Linked DNA regions of Neodiprion lecontei. The protein of the gene in region 1 purifies or fractionates together with the protein of each later gene. This does not show direct contact. Links are inferred from orthologs where the notes say so. Each region holds a gene or a part of one and is shown on either strand. Other genes may lie near its edges.

The links. Proteins that work in one complex are often made in the same cells at the same time.
Region 2: the proteins of WD repeat-containing protein 20 (region 1) and F-box/WD repeat-containing protein 5 purify together in Homo sapiens (co-immunoprecipitation; 3 studies listed by BioGRID and IntAct, counting the BioPlex papers as one, with this or other methods). This does not show direct contact. The link is inferred for Neodiprion lecontei from reciprocal best matches to the Homo sapiens genes WDR20 and FBXW5.

What each region holds. Positions count from the first base shown.
Region 1 is NC_060266.1:562,810-573,109, forward strand, and holds WD repeat-containing protein 20, read left to right. Parts: upstream 1-3,736; 5' UTR 3,737-4,235; coding exon 4,236-4,505; intron 4,506-4,945; coding exon 4,946-5,140; intron 5,141-5,758; coding exon 5,759-7,240; 3' UTR 7,241-8,133; downstream 8,134-10,300. Other genes in the region: uncharacterized protein LOC107216915, read left to right, coding at 66-213; U3 small nucleolar RNA-associated protein 25 homolog, read right to left, coding at 970-3,273. UniProt on the Homo sapiens protein: Regulator of deubiquitinating complexes. Activates deubiquitinating activity of complexes containing USP12. Anchors at the base of the ubiquitin-contacting loop of USP12 and remotely modulates the catalytic center of the enzyme.
Region 2 is NC_060261.1:32,800,905-32,811,689, reverse strand, and holds F-box/WD repeat-containing protein 5, read right to left. Parts: upstream 7,879-10,785; 5' UTR 7,766-7,878; coding exon of another isoform or gene 7,744-7,765; 5' UTR 7,690-7,743; coding exon 7,416-7,689; intron 7,300-7,415; coding exon 7,142-7,299; intron 6,970-7,141; coding exon 6,792-6,969; intron 6,451-6,791; coding exon 6,258-6,450; intron 6,187-6,257; coding exon 5,959-6,186; intron 5,880-5,958; coding exon 5,704-5,879; intron 5,636-5,703; coding exon 5,299-5,635; intron 5,164-5,298; coding exon 4,951-5,163; intron 4,535-4,950; coding exon 4,267-4,534; 3' UTR 2,737-4,266; downstream 1-2,736. Other genes in the region: succinate--hydroxymethylglutarate CoA-transferase, read left to right, coding at 1-65, 180-248, 898-1,006, 1,086-1,241, 1,336-1,361; endoplasmic reticulum transmembrane helix translocase, read left to right, coding at 8,345-8,611, 8,911-9,176, 9,259-9,487, 9,616-9,769, 9,846-9,998, 10,089-10,271, 10,380-10,517, 10,694-10,785. UniProt on the Homo sapiens protein: Substrate recognition component of both SCF (SKP1-CUL1-F-box protein) and DCX (DDB1-CUL4-X-box) E3 ubiquitin-protein ligase complexes.

The DNA.
Region 1 (10,300 bases):
TTTTTTAAATTTCATATCTTCGCTCGGTTTATCGGCGGATAAATATATATTTTTGTTTGTCGCAGAATAAGGAATGAAGTCAGGCGTCCGGAATTGCAGTTCGCAATAAATTATGGAGTTTGTTATGCGCGCCCAGACGCTGAACCTATCGTTGAACCAAGACTTCCGGACATTATTTTTGAAGAGTGCCCACGTATACTTACTAAATCTTGAAGATCACGTGTGGGGAAATCCCTAATTTATAACTAACTAATTTATTCCTTCAAAAATATACCACACACAATATATATTATATAATGTACTATAAGTATAATACTGTTTGTCTTATATTTTGTTCACAAACCCATAGGTATGTTCGATAAATTTTATTTTTAATCAATAAACATAATACTGCTGTTTCAGGTATTACCTAGATACATAATTTTCGGTACAATATTGCAAAATCGCAGGATTTCTAAAGATTTCGCATACTAAATAATTTCTCCTGATTGCTCTATACACATATCACTTGCCATTTTCTTACGCACGTGCTTTGAGCCCGCGCCACGTTTTTTTTTTTTATCCGCTACGTGAACCGATCGACTCCTTTTAGCAATTGGAAAGATCAAGACTCTCATTTTTCAATAAACACTGGAATGTAAAAAAATGTGGCTAAACCGGCACCGCAAATAATTCGAAGACCTAACAATAAGTCATCAAATCCCCTTTCTTCAGTCTAACAGGAGTATTATTATTTTCAGTGAATTTCTGGAATCAGATTAATCATTTATTTACTTTCGTTGGAGATTTCGGTTCAAATCTGGTGCTCGTCGACGTAAGCTAAAAATCAGTCACCCAGCTTTTTCATCGGATTTTATCGCCAACTGTGGAACGTTTATTACCAAATGTATACGTACTACATACATAATATGATTTTACAAATGCAGCAGGGACAATTTCGATACCGGACAAATACTTTTTCACTCGTCGTCAGTCGCCGGTCATAAACATGTGGACGTCTTGCCCCGAACTAATCATTTTCGTCGTCCTTTCGGTGCCGACGATACCTGCGAGCTTCAACGCGTCGTATTTCGAGTATACCAACGTTACGGTCATGTTGCTGTCCGAGCCTGCGTTCGGATTCTGATTCGCTTTCTGCATTAGGTTGCAAATTTCGCTGTAAAAGTGAGGGAACGTCGGCGGTGCGAAGAATATGAGGTGCCTTATACCCTTGAGGCGTATCCTACGGAAGAAATGGAATCGCTCGGAGTAAATGAGGAAATGCGCGTCGCTGTGGTAAAACATGTCCCTCGCCCTGGCCACCTTTGCATCCTTCGAATACTCGCAGATCTGAACGAAGCTGAGCTCCTCTTTCTTGAAGTAGTTGCGAACTTTCACGAAGTCAAAATAGGACGGCACGTAGATAACGGTGTGATTCATTATGCTGTCCTTGTACTGGGGGAGAATCTTCGAGACGAAGAAAGTGAACCTGGCCTCTATGTCGTGGCCGTGGTCTCGGGAATCGAACCTGTGAAACACCTGGGGCACTTGAATCACCGTTTGGCAAACGGTCCCGGAAGTCACCGGGTTCACGACCCTCGCTTTTCCCGCGTAGTTGAAGCACCGCTTGTTGAATATCGCGTGTATCTCGGGTAACGGAACGCCGGAGAATATCAGCGTCTGCCGATAGAACTTGGACCAGCCGTTCACCACCCAGCTGCGAACGCGAGAGAAATCCGTCCCGTGGGATTCCTTTGGCTGCAGATGTGCGTGGTCGAGGACGTGCAGCAGGTGGTCCCAATTCTGCATCGCGAACACCTCCGTCTGGTCCATCACGAGCAACTCCACGGAAGCAAGGAAATCGTAATCTCTGTCGGGTTCGCCCTCGGCGCCGACGAGCATTCGGAGTCCCAGGACGGACGAAATGATTATGTCGGACGAGTAAAAGTCCGAATAGAGTTTCAACGTTTTCTTCGTCACGGATATGCCGATTTTAAAGGTATCGTCGACGTTTCCTTCGAACGTTTGCTCGTAATCTTCGGGCTTGGGATTTTTCCTCGGCATAGCGAGTTCGTTGCCACTGAAATCCTCCATGAATCGAAGTTTGTTCACCACGGACCCACCCTTGTCTTCCCCGATTAAAATCGCGATCAGTAGCCGAACGATTTTTAAACACGAGTGCCTGAAAGGGACTATTATAAGAACCTTCGGCCTGACCAAACCCTGATCCCGATATTCATCCGGTGTATCCGCTATCCCTGACTTCTTGGCTTTTGTCAGTTTCGCATTGTGATGCAAGACCTTGGTTCTGGTTTTTAAAACGTGATTAACCGCGTGCAAGCAATAAAGAAATCTAATTTGTTCGCCATTGGCGAAATTTCGCTCGTTGTAGCACAGATCTTGATAATTGTTAATTATGGTGAACAATTCTTTTTGCAACGGGGTTAAGGGACTAGGCTTAGACGCCAGACTGTCTTTAATATTATCGTAGTTTGCCTTGGAGATATTGCCTTGAATTTGTGACTTGATGAATAACTTGTCCCAGTCAACGTCGTCTATGACTTGCGGAACAGCTCCGTGTCTGGCAAATTGCTTGTCTTCCAATATCGAGACCTTGGGTCGTTTTCTAACAGGCTTAGAAAACTCATCCTCAACCTCTGGGATTTGAAACACAACGGTTCCGAGAGCGGGCCACTTCGATCTACTGGTGGCAGCCTTCTGAGGAGTTAGGGAAACGGATTTGTACAAGTCGTCGTCCAAATCGTTGAGCAGATGAATTGAAAACGGATCTCTGAGCTTCCCAGCATCTTCGCGCGCAGTCTCTTGATCCTCTTCCTCTTCCTCCCTCAAATTTATCTCGACATGTTCAGCGTCGCTAGCCTCGGAAGTGACGTGATCTACGCCCGAGTTTTTCGTCTTGAAAAGATTTTCTTCTTCGACGGAAGATTTCACCTCGGCTTCGTCGTCAGGCTCGGATTCAGACTCTGACTCACAATCGGAGTCAATGACAGGTTGCCTCTTAGTTTCAGCACCACCGATAGCTGAAAGCAACATTTTTAACGGATCCTCTCGTTCCTCTTCCGAACTCTCAGCCTCAAGTTCCAACTGTTTGCTCCTCTCCGCCTCTAATTTTCGCCTCCTATTTTCAATCTCTTCGTTCTTGGCATCACGTTCCTTGACATACGAGGCTTCCCTGATATTGAATTTACATTTTTTCACCTTAGGCTTATGCTCGAAACGTTTATCAAATTTTCGTCGATTCCCTCCGCGAGTCGGTTTTTTCCCACGAACCATTGTCAACCGTCCCACTTTCAATATCGCCAGCAATAATTCAATTCAAATGAACACGGCCTATCGACAACCAAAAACTGAACGCTTGCATTGGCAAGCACATGGTTTTCAGGTTAGGTTCCGTTGAGACAGCAGCACTGCGAACGAGGCGGCGGAGAAGGTTGGCACCAATGGATACCAAACATAGCAGACGACAAAGAGCGGGGAGCGTCGCCTTATTTGAAAACGAAATTGACACAGCGTATACGTTGCGGCATCTCCTCGAATGCACAGCGATCTCCGCGAAGCGAGGAAAGATTCGAGAATTTCACGGAGAATGATCCTTGTAAAAGTTATTGACGGAGCTGGTCTTGTCGATTGATGAATCGGACGAAACAGTTTTTTCCGAGCAGCTGCGATATTCCTGTCGACTAGGATGCGGCCAGAAGGAGGTGGTCGGTCATTACGAAACGGGCGAGTGGTACGATCAGTATCGTTCGAGCGACAGCGGCTGCTCGTTGACGCGACGAGGGACGGTTAAACGGTCGTCAACATGTGTGACAGGAAGAAGGAAGGAGCGATTAAATCAATTAGTAATTCAACCATCTGTTGAGAAAATATCCGGTTGCAGAGCGATATTATGTAGGATTGCCCGGTGTTGGCAGAGTGTCGGTCGGCTGGGGTGTGCGCGCGCACCAACAACACTGGAGCGAGCCGCGACGATCAGCTCGCAGACAATTTCGCTGCGGGTTCGGATCTTGTACTCGGGACTCGGCGATTCCGCGATATTGCATGGTGGTGGTGGTGATGGTGATGGTGGTGGTGGTGGTGTTGTTAAGAAAACAGTAACCACACTCTCGTCGTCGTTCGATCGAAGAGCCGGGATTGGTATAATCGCGGATCAATCGACGGTTAACTAAAATAGGAAAGGAAACACCCATTTCCTCGATTCTCATGAACTCCACCGTCGTTTCTCTAGTGGTAAGATGGCGGTGCAGCTCGATGGAGGGGGGAAGGACGACTTGAAAACACAATTTGTCACGCGAGAAGGAACGTACAAACTGATGACCCTCTCGGAGTACTCCCGACCTAACAGGGTGGGCTACACCAACAGCCAGGGCAGCGCCTCGGTCAGGGTGTCCTTCGTCACATTGCCCGATCCAGCCGATCCCACGGGAGCCCAGGGCCTCGGCGACCGCATGTGCTTCAACTTTGGCAAAGAATTATACGTATACGTTTACCGTGGCGTCAAGAAGGTACCTCCTCTTCTGCCACCTCGTTAAACCTGCCCTATTATCCCTGCGACTCTTTCGGCGCTAACTTAACGATACATAACCTCAAACAGCCCCCCTCCCCCCTCCGCCTCGTCGTTCCGACTCCATCTTCGCAACCACCACCACCACAACTCTCCAACCTCGTCATATTCTTCGCATTTCTACTTCACTTCGACTTTATCTATGTTACATTTACATTTACGTTCACTTTTAGTTCATCCTATGCTTTGTTGGCCTGTGTTATGCTGGTGAAAAAATTGATCAATGATAACACTAATAGAAACATGCAAACTTTTGTCAGGTTTCCTAATCTTGGCACACAGCTACGATTGCTTGGTTCTGAAATACAAATTCATTTTATAAGAGCTTAGGAACCGTTTTCTGAATAATTCTCATTCAAAATCTATCTCAAAGTATAATAGCAACTGTTTCAGGCTGTGGATCTCAACAAACCTGTTGACAAAAAGCTCTACAAAGGAACAAATCCAACCTGCCATAACTTCAACCAAACTACAGCCACTGCAGACAGCGCGCCACTGCTCGTCGGATTTTCCACAGGACAGATTCAGCTCATAGATCCAATTAAAAAGGAGCTTAGCAAACTTTACAATGAAGAGGTATGCATAACAGATCAATTCAAATCAAAAGCAAAAATCCATCCTATCCTGATGAGCAATATTCATTTCAATAACTGGGCAGCCAAAGCTAGGCACATTCTACGAGTAAAGGCTAGCTAAGGGCTCTTTGTCAGGCTTATTGCTGATTGCTGAATGACTGAGATACAGCACCGTTATTTTGCCGGCACGTGATAACCAGGCAATTAGCAACAGACACGTAATATGCTATCTGTCGCGACAAGTGAGAGTTTTTTTTGCTTTATTATCTGCCACAGATGGCTCCGCGTAACCCTACATCATTCAAGGTTGGCAGTACTGTTGTAACGCAACTATAACTTGATGAAATAATTAAACAGGCATTACATACTGTGTTATGCAATACTCCGCTTATCTCTCCGATCACTGACAATGCGCCAAGATACTAAGATCTCTGCGTATATTAAAGCTGTAATCTATTCGTATTTATTAGCTATGTTGTTATTCTCTACCAGTTGTAAAACCCTTTGACGAATAGATATGGCAAGGACTCGAGTTATTTAATTTACTGGGAAGATGTTGACATTAGTTGAAAGATAAACGCGACAAAGAATAATCAGCAACTGATGTTTGTAATTTCAGAGGCTAATCGACAAGAGTAAAGTGACCTGCATCAAATGGGTTCCGGGATCGAGCAATCTATTCCTGGTTTCGCATAGCTCTGGCCAACTGTACCTGTACAACGAAGAGCTGCTTTGTGGAACGACACCGCCTCATTATCAGCCGTTCAAATCAGGGGATGGCTATGCGATTCACACATGCAAAACAAAGTCCACAAGAAACCCCCTGTACCGATGGGTGATCGGCGCTGAGGGATGCTGTATAAATGAATTTGCATTCAGTCCCTGTGGCTCTAATTTGGCTGTGGTATCCCAGGATGGCTTCCTACGAGTTTTTCACTACGATACGATGGAACTAGTGGGATCGGCGAGGAGCTACTTTGGAGGATTCTTGTGCGTCTGTTGGTCACCGGATGGACGATACGTCGTAGTAGGAGGAGAAGATGATCTGGTGACGATATGGAGCTTCAATGAGAAAAGAGTCGTGGCCAGGGGCCAGGGTCATCACAGTTGGGTCAGTGTGGTCGCGTTCGATCCCTACACAACGTCCTACGGGGATCACGATCCAGATTTCAGTGGTTCCGACGACGAATCCATGCCTCACACTAATCACAATAATCACTTTCATGAGAAGCCCAACAGATTGTCGACAGTCTCCCAAGGTATTCATTCCAATAGAAATTCGTGCGGGTCGGAGCTAAGGGTGTCCGGAGGAACCTGCTACAGGCTGGGAAGTGTCTCCCAGGACACTCAACTCTGTCTATGGGATATAACCGAAGACGTTCTTCGGCCGCCAGTCAGTGCCAAGCAAAGGACGTCGACCGCAGGTTCGGGGACATTTTCGTCATCGGGAACATTTACAAGCGGGAATGGAGCAACGTCCAATCATAATTCCAACAATGCCAAGCATAACAATTTGAATAATATAGGTTTTAAAGAGAGCGCGAGTGGTAACAATGAAAGTAGTAATAATAGTATTAGCACCAATGCGGCAGTGTCTACCGTGAATTCATTGACTCAAAGGCTGGCGGGCTTGGGTTTCGGGGAGAGGAAAGGTGACAATCACAAAAGAAACTTTAGCCTAACGATGAGAGGAAGTGGAACGAGCAACAACGCGATACAAAATAATAGTGGGGAGAAATCTGGTAGTAACTCAAATTCTAGTAATTCAAACAGTGTTGGCGGGGGTCTAGGTACGAATAAAAAGTCCGGCGGTACGATGGACGATCCTATGAGATTGATAGGGACCGCCTGGTGTCCACGTTTCGACGAGTGCCCTGTTCTAGAACCATTGGTGTGCAAGAAACTGGCCCACGAGAGGCTGACTGAATTAGTGTTTAGAGAAGATTGTTTCGTGACAGCATGTCAGGACGGGTATGTCTACACGTGGGCGAGACCTGGCCACATGGTAGGTCCTCTGACGATAAGCAGCACCCTCCACAGGCCCCATCACCACACCAATCCTCATACCAACGCCAATTCTAATCGACCAAATGATCTCTGATGTAACCCATCTTTTATTGTTATTAAAACTCTATCGAATCGAGTTTATTAACTAATTATTAATCAATTAATTTGTATATACTAGAGATAGCTCAGGTCCGTAACTATATTGTTGGACAAATAATCAAAGGCCTGTAACTATTTTATCGAAGCCCTTGAAATTTATCTGATAACGACAAGCAGTAACTAACGTGACGGTCGTTGATGAAAATAAAAGGAACTAGAAGAATGTTACAGAACTTTCAACTATACTTTAATTCACTCCATACTGTATATGAATACAAATATTTACGAAGGAGCACGGATTGCGTGTGATACTGTCTCGTTTGGACGTCAATTGAAACATACTCGAAATTATCTGTTTTAGTCAGGCAGCGCGAGAGTTAGAGTCTGAGTATTAGAAAATCTCGACTACATGTTTTAATTTTGGTTGCAAAATTTGAGCTCTATTCTTGAACTAAGTAAAATTCACTTGACTAAACATCCAGTTTTCGTCTGAACGCAGTATTATCCCGACGCCCCTATCCTAATCAATGCGTTGAATTGAATATGTCAAAAAAAGAAGAGAAATGAGGAAGGAGGAAAATTGAAATCACGTTAAAAGAAGTCTAAATTATAGATTATATTTATGTCCGGTTTGCATCTCTGAGAGTGATATTGTTTATGCCCAGTAGAGGTCTGGTAGCCGGGCAGGTCCCACCCTCTCTCTCCCCGCTCTCCTATTTTCCGCAGGCCCGTGTAAAGTGTTACTAGCTTAGCTTAGCCAATCGTAGTAAAGCAATGAATTACATAGCGAGACTATTGTCCCAGAATATTAATAATGTGACATTTATTCCTTTGTTGGAAATGATGAATTGCCTTGTTGTAAAATAAAGCAAAAAGTTGAATGAAAAACTGCTGCTTGCTTCCTGCTTGAACTTACGTCTCTTTTTGTCCATCTGTTTCCTATTTTTAATTTCACTTTTATCCCTTACTTAACAAAGTTGCGTTCCTGCCGAATAGAAACATGCCGCTTATTCATATACCCAGATTTCAACAAATGTTAGCCTTTTGGTACAAAAACTTCACCTGTCTCACCAAACGTTTCCTTTGCTTGTACACCGATGCCGCTATTTAGATCTGTGTTAATTTTTCTTTCATAAAAAAATTAATATTCCCCGCGTTGCTTTTGGCTGACCCAAGAGGCCACGGATGCTGCCCTGAGTTTGCGCATGGTACGTACAAGACTTTAAATTTGTTTGATCCAGCTTTTAGCTTTTCCTATTTTGCTAATTGGAGATTTTCATAGCCGGTAGTCTCAAAAACAAAAAAAAAAAAAAACCCAGTAGCGTTATTTTATCGAGTAAAGTTAACCCGTTGTTTTTTTTTCTTGTATCTTCCACAGTATGAGGTTCTAACTTCGAGGTACATTCAATAATCCAAAGCATAAGCTTTAATAGTCATCACATCACATCAATGATCAACGATCCGGTCTAAGTTGATAAATTGAATTTCAGGGAAGCATAGGACAAATGGGAGCAGCTTTTCACGTAACGAGCCTAGTGGATGATGGCGGTACTATAGTGTAGCCACGGATGAACATCAACCAAACTTTCCCTGGGACAAGTTTATCATCCTACATCGAAACGCCACACTTTTGCCAGCAGAATATTACACTCCATTCCACTGCAGTTGTTACTTTACAATCAAGTATTATAACTCTAAAAGACTATTGTAAATTGATTCAAGTCCTATGCTATACATGTAGTATTATATACAAATCAAGTACGTCATTTCTTGTTCTCTTTCGATTAATCTAAATTCAGTTAAGATTTTCAATGGAATCTTCGATTTAATTTACATATGGTTTCATCAATGACCACATCGCGTGAAGCATGAAAAAGCTGCTATCGTTTCGTCTACCGATGATTAATCGTTGGGTCTAAGATCGAATTTTTAGTTGTCGATAGAAAACTTGAAATTCAGCACCATTTTCTCGTATAGGTAGATCACTTTTGTTACGATTATAGAAAACTAAATTTTGTCAGTGCATTGTCAATCTCGTATATTCTCATTTGTTCTTTAATCAATTAGCCAAAAAACTGTGTATGCAAAGCTCGGAAGTTCCTTTAGTAACTAGAATTTGAGATATAATTGTATGAGTGAGCGCAGCGGGGTGTCAAGCCAAAAAGTAATAAATATTGCAATTATAACTTGTCCGATAAAGTTATGCACTGTGTTGTAGGACAGATCGATTTAGCAAATCTAATATTCCACGTGGTGATACTGTACATTTTCAAGTACCCTAGTGCAAATTTGTCTCAAAGACAAAGATTTTACATAAATTCAGTATTAGGTTTTGAATTAGGTATAATATGCCTGCACGTTATTCCACGATACATTGGGTAAGTTGATTTTTCAAGTGAATTAGCATTGCAATGAATACGGTGATGCGAAAATAAAGACTTTAAACCGCAGTAAATTGTATGTTGGGGATATGCGCATATTACGTACAACTTGTATAAATTTACTTGTACAATTACGAAAACTTGATAAATTTCGTTGTAAGTTTATTAAAAAAATAACTAGTTTTGTTGCAAAATTTATTTTGCTACCACCGTCGACATATACGAGAGATTATACATATATACGACTGCGCAACGAGCATGATTAGCGAATTTTCATTTGTACGATAATATGCATACATTATTATGTGTACATTCTTTACGATCACTATAAATCAGAGCATTTAATTCTCAACTCGACGTTGTATCTTGTTAATATTTTCTCATCAATGACCCAACCCATATTTTCTGCAGCATGGATTCCTATTCCACTTATAGCCAGTACTATAAAGTTTTTTTGAAAATGCAACGCCAAGCAGAATTATATTTGATAGATTTTTATTTGCAGCAACTCACATATGTCTCGTTCGTTGATCTCTGCTCAGGATAAGTGATTATGTATTATCCGTTACGTTCTCTCCATGTTTCAAACCGCACATTGTTCCAACACATCACACACAAAATGCAACACACCATAGTGATCCGCGGTAACTTTTCATAGAAGGGAATTCAAAGAA
Region 2 (10,785 bases), on another chromosome or scaffold:
ATGATTGGTCTGAAATTTTTCGAGATGCTCCCTTTCCAAATGGACGTATCAATACGATTGGCCAGGTAAGCCCTTGCAACGAGAGAGCTGGAAATCTTTATACTGATTTTTTAAAACTATTCTTGGTTTATTGATTCTTAGGTATCTGTTAACTCGTGTGTTATAATTTGATTTTCCAGGTCTTTGACGATCCACACATTAAGCACATAAAGTTGGTCAAAGAAATGATCCAACCAAGCATAGGAAAGGTGAAAGTTGTCGGTCCGCCAGTGAGCTACAGCTATGCTGACAATTCTGTTAGATCGCCACCCCCAATTTTAGGACAGCACACCAATGAAGTCTTGAAAAACGTTTTAAAGTATTCAGATGAGAAAATATCAAGATTAGTGACTGAGAAAATAATTCAGTAAATAACTGCGCTGGAAGATTCAGTTGAAATATGAAATTATTTGAATATTTTCAGTATTGTAAACACAAGTAAAAACAAAACAGTATTTTTAGATTTTTCTATTACTTTAGCATTGCGAGCTCGCATTGATTACAGATGTATGAATTGCAGAAAACAAGATCTTAATAAGTATTATCTGAGCAGCACATAGTGATAATAATAAACTGCTTCATGGAATATGGTGTTCTGAATATTCGTTTCCTTTCTTATTTTATGCTCTGCCATGTTAAATTCATTAATTTTGCATTCATAAGTGTAATGGTGATAAGAATTTACCCGGTTTAATATGTATATCACAGAAATTGTCTCACACTGGTATTGTTTCAACTCATTATTCAAGATTATGAATAATAGGTACACATATAGACAGTATTTTATATACAGAAAAAATAGAGCCAGATTTCACTGGATCATAAATTAATCTTCTGTGATCAATTTCTTTGTTTCAGGATATACCAACTATGAGATTATGTTTACGTAAGCCAAAATCCAGTAAAAAAGTTCAGTGGACACAAGGAACTGTCGATAATGAGCATATGAATAAAAAAAAGTCTAAATGTAAATTTCCGCTTAAGTACACGCATATAATCAAAATTAAAATTTGACTCGCTTTTCTAACATAATTCGTAATCTACAGGCTGCTGTATATACGAAAAACCAAAAGAATTTGGTGAGAGTAGCTCAGAAGACAGCGATGATGAGTGTGAGCACTGTCATGGGCACAGAGATATTCATCATAAGAATAACTCGAATGGAAATGAGGCACCTCAAGGAGCCATACCGTCTCAACCTGGTACATTTCTTGTATTTTAAACTTTGTATGATTTTTATCGTCTATTACAGGATATACAGAAAATTGTTTATTTACATTTAACGTTCTGTTTCAGAACCAATTGCTACAGGATCTGCCTAATTTTTAAGGGTTGAAGCATTTTTAGAAATGTTGATAGGTAACCCAATGTTGGCTTCGCATCTTAGATTTGAGTTCATTGTTAGGTTGACAAGGTTATGTAAAACTTTGAAGGATATTTTGCCAGATTTTTTATACGGAGTCTTTTCACCTTTTTTCCAAGCGATATTACCTATTCACTTGGAGGATAGATCTGTCTTAAAAATGTAGCCATATTCGTTGCGTAATTCCATGAACATACTAGTAGATGAAGAGATTTCTGACACTTCATTTAAATAACAAATAGTCAGAAATCCAACATAGTAAATGTGTCAAAATCAAAATTATCAACTGACTTCTGAGTTCTAATTGCTGATTTTTATCTACTTTCTAAACAGCTTATAGAAAGCTGTTGTGCTAGTTAAAATTTGCAATTGCTCTGTATTTGACGCAGGCAATTGCAGTTTGTGTATAAATAACTATGATGTAATAGTTACAATGATGAGTTTTGTCGAAGTCTTGACTTCCAAAAAATTTCAAGGTGAAACAAACACTATAGTCGATCAGTCAATCTTTGGAAATTATACACATTCATATGATAGTTGAATTACATACTGTAGTGAAACTTCGTGTTTTGATCTATACCCATGATATGTCATTTCAACTGATGAAATAATCGTGAGAGAAGGGAATACAAATCTTCTCTAACTAATAGTTTTACCTAGGTCGTAATGTTTTCAATCTTCCAATTGTAGACACATTGTCTTGGGTGTTGCTCAATATTTGTTGGGTATTGGTTGTGCGTTGCATATGTAATGAATATTCTTAGGAACTCTTGTATAAAATTGAGATCATTTGATTGATTTATTTCGAAATCCTAATTTTCAATATTTGTTTTTTAGAAACTGTTATTTCTACTTGACATTAAATAGTTTCAGTCGTAAATTAAATTACAAGGAAAAATTATTTAACGAATCAAATTTGTAGTTTTGCTTTGTAAATACTTTTGCTATACTTGAAGCTAAATAATGGAGCACAATAAATTTATTTTCGAATTTGCATAATCGAAAGCTCCTATAACATAAAATATACAACTAAGTAACTTATTATGCAATACAAGTGCGAAAGAAGCATAGGTCAAGCACATTGAGTCCCACATTAAAATTGAGTATTTGAATATATGCTCTTTTTTTGAAATATTTCGAAATCAAATTTAATTTATCGTGATAGAAAGGAATATATATTTTTATACAAGGAAAATTATTTTTGAATAATTTTCAAAAGATGTTTAGTTCACAATTAATCATCGTTTGCTGTAATTCCTTGTCATAAAAGATAGCTATATTTCGCTTCTGAAAAATTCATCTAATCAGCATTCCATGTATTTTTGATGTACAAAGGTGTCCTTTCACGGTTCACTGTATCATACATGTAATGAGTAAAAAAAAGAGGGAAAAAAAACATGGTTGTAAAGTGTGGAATTAAAATTTTGAAGGAAAAGCTGAACAGGGAACAGAGCTCGTGACGTTAGTATTATGTTTATTCTTAAATTAATGTACAATATGAATTAAGTACGTCTTGTATACTTCACATCAACTGATTTAATTAAGATACGATTTGCAATCGACATATAAAAATTACATATTTTTGCTATTTACAGATCGACTTGATGGTGAATCACAGAAATTTTTTTCCCCACTGCAGACTAAATACAGTTTCTGGAATATAATATTTTCATCTATTCCTTGTACTTCCATTTTTTGAATTGTAATTTACCATGCCAAACAAATGACAAAAAAACGTTCATCATGAAAATTCATTAAAATTGAAGCTATTGTAATTCAAGACTATGATGTCACGTCTTGCGCATTGCAACTTTTATGCCGGATGTTTCTGTCGTATCTAATACGTCATCAATAATGGAATTGTAGCATGCACGCTTGTGAATCTACAGTTATATATGCTGCAATATCTATAAATTTTAGTCAAGTTACAAACTATACTTCAAAGTAGAAGTAATTCAAACAACTTATAACGAAATTTTCAGTCGTGATTCCTGCACGAAAAAGTGAAATCTTTGAAACCAGTAGATATTCATACAACTGAAGAAAACCGTTCACTTGTACATATTAGTTATAACCCTACACCTAGTGAAGTCACAACATTGCAAATTGTTAATAAACAATTGATCTTTCGTTTGTTCAACTTCCAAAATTTTAATTTTCCAAAAACCTTCGCATCAAAAAAAACTCAACCGAACATCAGGTTTCTTTCACAGAATTTCTGGCCAGTTGAGTTCGATCAAATATTTTCCTCAAGAAACTTGGACATTAAAAACAATACGATAGTATTAAATACAGTGTTTTTCGAACATAAGTCGAGGTCTCTGGTGCTGGTTTGCTTTAAAAAATTTGTACTCAACTGATATGAGCGATTGACTTTACAGGTATATTTGAAGAATAATTACTGAAATAAAGTCTCAGAATCAGAAGTCAACTTACATTCAGGGTCGACTTATGTTTAATACAATACAGCATATATTGATGTATAAAATAATTGATGTATTACCCAATCAACGTATACTCATGTACATAAGTAAATTAGCTGCAAGATAAATATTGGTGTCAACAAAATCAACCAGATTTCTTTGTCTAATTGAGTTAAAATGGCTGTTAATCGCAATGTAGACTAGTTACTCCAATTTTTATAGAGTAAAATTGCACTATTCTATAATAGACATTGTACCTTGTATGAATTCAGATCATATTTGGTGCGATTAAATTCCAATCCTTTTTAAACTCTACACCGGTACTTCAATTTATTTTATAATCATTCCAAAATCTAACTTCCCGAAAGGACTTCGTGAAAAGCTAAATTAGTAATTAATATTGCGCAAAGGTTTTTAAATTGGAAATTGAATAGCTTTTAATCAGTCAACGTTACAGCTGCTCCTGTGATACCGGCATCGTTTTCTTACTTCCAATCCCCTGCGATACATTTCTTCATTTAATCCCAGCTCTTTGACCATCGATCGACTTCGCCAAACTTTAACTGTGTAGTCATCGCTGGTGGTCACAAGCATTTCAGGATCCTTCGGATTAAATGCAACAGAGTTTACGACATCAGAATGCGGTAGTTTAGCTAAACATACTCCGTAATGTCGATCCCAAAGATAACCATGCTTATCCTCTGCTCCACTAGAAAGTACATTTAATCAACATTTACTATTATTGATATTTATTGTCTTCTTTCAACTATTTTTGACAAAGACTTTAATATTGCTTATCATTATTGCACATCATATCATTGCTCATTAAGGACAGAGATATAGTCTTGAACTTGATTGAAAGTGAAACTTGGATGAGTTATAAATAGTGGTAGAATAAAGCGTAATTTTGTCAGGTAGGTCGACCTCGGTGTGAGATATACTAAGGTTTTCCCTATCTGTACATCGTAACTTTCGCTATTTTTGAAAGGTTAACATCGTAAAAATATACACTGTTACAAAAAGAAGAAGATCGGAAGGGCGAGTATTTCTCAAAAACTCATATTTTACTTAAAATTCTGCTGAAGTTGTTCAAAATACATGTAAAATATGCGCGTGTAGACTTACCTTGCAACATATTCATTGCACACATCTAAGAATATAAAAAAACATTCGTGATTCGGCGTGTAAGCCTTGTGCGCCCGTAGCATTGTACCAACTTGTTTCAAAGTAACCAAATCGATAACGTGAATATCAATTTCTTGAGCAATTGGTGGTGGTTCCAACGGGTTTGTGATAACGTAGCCCCTTGGCCACGGTCTTGTATTAACATACAAATATCTGGGTGACAAAATCAATCCTGAATTATGATATGACTAAACTAGTATTATAGAAGTGGGTTCAATATAAATTAACATTGCTAATTTGCTGTTACATTCATGAATTAGGTTTGATTCAATCAATCGTGAAACACACCTGTGATCTGGAGATAAACTCATTCCGATAACATGACCATGAAGATCTATGAGATGATCTACTTTGTCAAATTTATCGGCGACAGCATTATAGTCCAGCCAATTAGGCTCGGTTCTAGGCGATCTGCAATTTTGTCTCTCGCGCTCGCGTTCTCGCTGGGCAATCCTCTCTTTTAAAGAAGGCCCAGGATCAAGACGTCTCGGAAAACTCATCGGCTTGATACGTTTAAAACCAATTTGGTGGGGAGTGTAAGTTTTTGACCCAGTCGTAAAAATGAGATACTTCTCCGGGCTGTCAGCTAAATCGTCAGAGTCACAATCCTCTCCATCTGATGACTCTGTAAATGTAAATGCGAACAATAATTAATAATAAAATCATTTTCAAAGAAGTTAATTTCTCACTCACCTGTTGTCTCGCTTTCTTCTTCCCACGTCAGATCATCATTTTCGCAACTATGATCTGTCGTATCTTTTTCGATTTCCACTTGTCGGTAATTTTCGTTGTACTGAATGGGACTTGCATACTCAAACCCATCGCCGAGCCTTCGCCAGTTAAGAAACCCACCTTCCAGTGTGCTGTATCTGAAGTAAAAAAAAAACCACAAGATTGACTCTACCTTGAAAAATAACTATGATTGACTAAGGTCTTAAGTCAACTCACTGCAGTCTGGATGACGCATGATGTAGAACTTCAGGTTCTTCAGTCTGCTGTTGACCATTATTTGAAGACATGGAGGATAGCTCTCTATGGCTTGGCGGATTCCCTTTCTCTTCTCTGACATCAGAAGTTAATGGTTCATTTTGCTGAGTTTCAGTTTTCGGCGATGCGGGGGATAAACAATTAGCTACCATCACAGCTCTAATCGAGGATGCATTGCTGTTGTAAAATCTATAAGAAAAGGTCACATTACATAAGAATTGTTATGTAAATCTTTTCCTTTTTAATGCAATTCCACTCACCGATACAATTGATTCATTATCGGTACATGTTCGCTGGCTGACTCTTGGCTAGCTTTGTTCAGCCATAACACACTTGTGCTAACCAAGTGTGCTAACCAGTGCAGATCTCCGCTTAGTAAGTGTCGCTCGCTGTACCATGTGCCGAATATGTCATAGGGTTTATTCACAACTCTGCACTGAAGTTCAAATCCAGCTGTAAATAAATTTGGAAGTGCAAACATACCAAAAATCTTTTCTTGACAATTTGAAATTGGCTTTCTTGGCATTAAGCAGTCAGAATCCAAGCTCACAGATCATAGGCCATAAATAATATTCTTGACATTTCTCAATTGATTTAGTTTCTAGTTAATAATCTAAATTCGAAATTTGAAATTTCCATAGCATGAAGAACACAATATGTTTGCAAGTTATGGTCGGAAGTTAGAAGGGTAATATCAGAATCCTAAATTTTGGATTTATTCGAGATTATACAGACAAGTCATTGCCACTCTACTGTTCTAAAGAGGAGTATTATTCTTTGTAATCCATACTCACGCTCAAGACTAAAGACTGCAATTTCTCCAGAGGTACTGTGGGGAGTTCCAAAGTGAACTCCAGATACAAGAAGCAAGGTATCGGATGAATTGAATTGAGAAAATTGTGTGTACTTCCAGCTAAATGTTTTCATGTCTCGATGGTATTTAATACTTGCTGGATAACTGCTGTTCCATACCTAAGAAATAAATATAAATTCGATAAAAGGTGCTGTTCTCAGCGGAAATATTGCAAGACATTGTATACAAATTTAAAGTAATATTGACCAAGTGTGCAATTGACAGAATTCTGAGACACTGACTCAATTTCAACTATTTGAAAATAAATTATAGTATTTAACAAGTTTTTACAATTATGTAGCCGTCTTTGGAGCATGTTGTGAACATTTGCCCATTATGCGAAAAGCTAACGTGCAGTACTTGGTTGGTGTGTTCTTTGCGGACCTCGGTTTCCAACAACGGAGTGTGGTAAGTAAGCCGTTTGAATTCTTGAAGCCAAGAAGTTTTGCCTGTAGCAGGCAAAAAATGTTCATCTTTGATTTAATTGCGCACTGTTATTTTCCAAATGCTTATTTATTTTCACCATCTATAAATAGATAACTTGGTGGTATTGCGTTTAACTTACCAGGCATAATGCTCACGTTCGGATCGATTTTGTAGGTTTGGTAAAAGAGATCCTTCCAGAGGAATTCGTCTTTGCAAACCCTGTGCCATGTTCTGCATACTTCTCCAACTGTCAGCAGCTCTTTTGGTGTAAGATATTGAAAAATGCTTAGAAGTACGGAGTCTGGCAGGTACCACCAAATGTCATGGTTATCGGAATTCTCCGTGTAATCTGTAAATGAATTTCTACTACTAAGCGGTTGACAGTTTTCAGCGGAATTAAATGTACCGTCCATTTCAGCGAAAGTCCTAGCTCAACTCTTTGTATAATATCACGGTTCTTTGTTTACTATAACAGCTGATGCCTGTCATCCTCTCTGTACCGCAGATCGAGCTTTTCCCTCCTGGTGATATCTGTGGGCCAGGAAGGAAGAGGGGAGGACACACAACTCCGTACTACGGTTTTCTGCACAGGTCCAGGCACTTCGTCTCTAAAATTGTGACGGTAGTGAACCCGATGTTGTGAATTTTTCCCGGTAGCGCTGGTGACGGGGAGGCCAATGCATTTGTAGTAACGGCCACCGAGATTGCAGCGCTCCGGTTTTTGGTGTACAAACTAAGAAGTATAGGCCTCAAAACGGTTACGCGGCGTTCAATAGTAAGGGGATAGGAGTGCCAAGAGTGGCCCAGATTTGTGTAGAAGACCGTACTCCGTAATATTTCTGATTATAGAGGTGGGACACATTCGGATCGAAAGCTGGAGTACCGATACCGCCGCTCGCAGCGTTGGTTTCGTCCGTTGCATCGGAAAATTGTAGTAGGATTCACAGCTCTATACGCGAAACGCCGTGACTCAGGATCTACCGGGTTTCTAGCAGTTTGAGCAGTTCAGTGACGGTTTACGTACCCGTAATTCGTCTGTTCTTTCTCGACGGCTACAGTGGAGTAATCATGGTTACGGTATCTGAAACACGCGTAGATGAACTCGTGCAGAGTGTCACCCTGCACGTACCTCGCAAATTGTTATTTAATGGTTACATATTGCCGTTTGTCGTCCTACAAGCCGTGTGGATTTACAGTTGGATTTTTATTTACGGTATCGACGAATATTACGATGCTGGTTTGGTGGGCATTGCGGCTATCGGATTGTTACAGATTTTCGTCTGCCTATGTTGTCAGTGGTCAGTCCACGTGCAAAGTTTTCTAAACTGCAGTTTTGTAAGTTTTTTTCATCGTTACCCGTACTCTCGCCTTAGTAATTGTCACTCTTGTCATTCCTAATTAACTATTTATGTTTAAATCGAGCAATATGTTTTCCTTACGCGGCAGCCATGTCAATTTATTCTTCTGCTACGATGGCGGGAGTTTCGTATTTCTTATGTCATGCTTTCACTACGTTTCCAAAAAATATAAGGTATAAATTGATATACCGTTAACTAATCTTCAACAACACCAGCGGTCTTTTATCCATTAAGCTCCTCTTTCTATACATCTATAATTATTCATGTTATTCGTAGACAAACGATCCTTACAAAGCTAAAGTAGCCAAAGTTGTTCCGACACCGAATAACGGAAGTTCAGAGCTTGTTGTACTACATCACAGCAGTAGTCAAGAGCCATGGTTCATTTTCCAAAAGACTAAGTACTCATGGGATCCAGATAAGAAGATATTCAAGGGCTTAGAGTTTCCTGTTGCGAATGCTATTCAGCATTATAATAGCTGGAAGGGCTATCAGGATGCAGAGGAAGTTACAGCCGCCGAAGAAAAATATGGTAGAAACAAGTAAGAACGTATTTGGATTTATTATCTGATACATTTGTATCCTTACATAGCACAATTAAATATAATCAAATCATTCTTTTAGTCTCGATATGGTTGTACCTGAATTTAGGGAGCTTTTTAAGGAGCGTGCCATTGCTCCGTTCTTTGTGTTTCAAGTATTCTGCGTTGCACTGTGGTGCCTTGACAAATATTGGTATTACAGCATATTCACTCTAATTATGCTTATCATGTTTGAGTGCACGTTGGTTCAGCAGCAACTTAGAAACATGGCAGAAATTCGTAAAATGGGTAATAAGCCATACATGATAATGGTAAGCTTTCAAGCATGATTATTTTCATAATAGTTCATATGTTTTATAAAATTAACACGTTAAAAATAAACTTCAAGCTTTTCATTTTCATCGTAATACAATGGATTTTTCAACAAAATTTGGTATAGGTATACAGGAACAGAAGGTGGCGAACTATATTTACTGATCAACTGGTTCCTGGCGATATTGTTTCCATTACACGATCACAGAATGACAATCTAGTTCCATGCGACATGCTTTTATTGAGAGGTCCTTGCATTGTTGACGAGAGCATGTTGACTGGTAATAGGAATTCAAGTTTTGATTCAAATTCTTTAATTCCAATTTGTGCATTATTAACTCCAGTAATGAAACGCAGGAGAGTCAGTACCACAAATGAAAGAACCTGTCGAGGGACTTGAAGGAAACAGAGATTTGAACATCGATGGGGATAGTAAACTACATGTTTTGTTCGGTGGCACCAAAGTGGTCCAGCATACGTCCCCTGGGAAAAGTACAACAGGTCTTAGAGGCATGTTGAATAATTAGCAGGACTTGTCTGTTCTAATAATATTAAAGTACCTCATTGACACACTTCATCTTCTTTTTCCTACTTTAACAGCAACCGACAATGGCTGTGTGGCCTATGTTTTGCGAACTGGCTTTTCAACGTCACAGGGAAAACTATTAAGGACCATTCTCTTTGGAGTGAAACGAGTAACGGCAAACAACTTGGAAACATTTGGCTTTATTTTATTTCTGTTGATCTTCGCAGTTGCAGCTGCTGCATATGTTTGGATTAAAGGTACTAACATTTTATCAAATGTCAGTCACAGTTATTCTGTCGAATCTTTATTGTTTTGACCCAATCGTTTAAAAGCAAAATATATTCTTCACTTAAAATCGATTTCAGGAAGTGAAGACCCGACAAGAAATAAGTACAAATTGTTTCTCGAGTGTACTCTCATTCTCACATCGGTTGTGCCACCAGAATTGCCAATAGAATTGTCCCTGGCAGTCAACACATCACTACTGGCCTTATCTAAACTAGGTGGGTCACAATTAACAAATAATAATAATAGTAATAATAAAAAACCATCTTGAAACACAAGGACGTAAAGAATTTTCACTATTAAATATTGGTGTAGAAACTTCAAGTTTTTTAAACCCATTTCAATGTGTGTACATATATTACACACCATACCTACAATTTTGCTACTTGTTTAGGAGTCTACTGTACGGAGCCTTTCAGAATTCCATTTGCTGGAAAGGTAGAAATTTGCTGTTTTGACAAAACTGGAACTTTAACGAGTGACGAT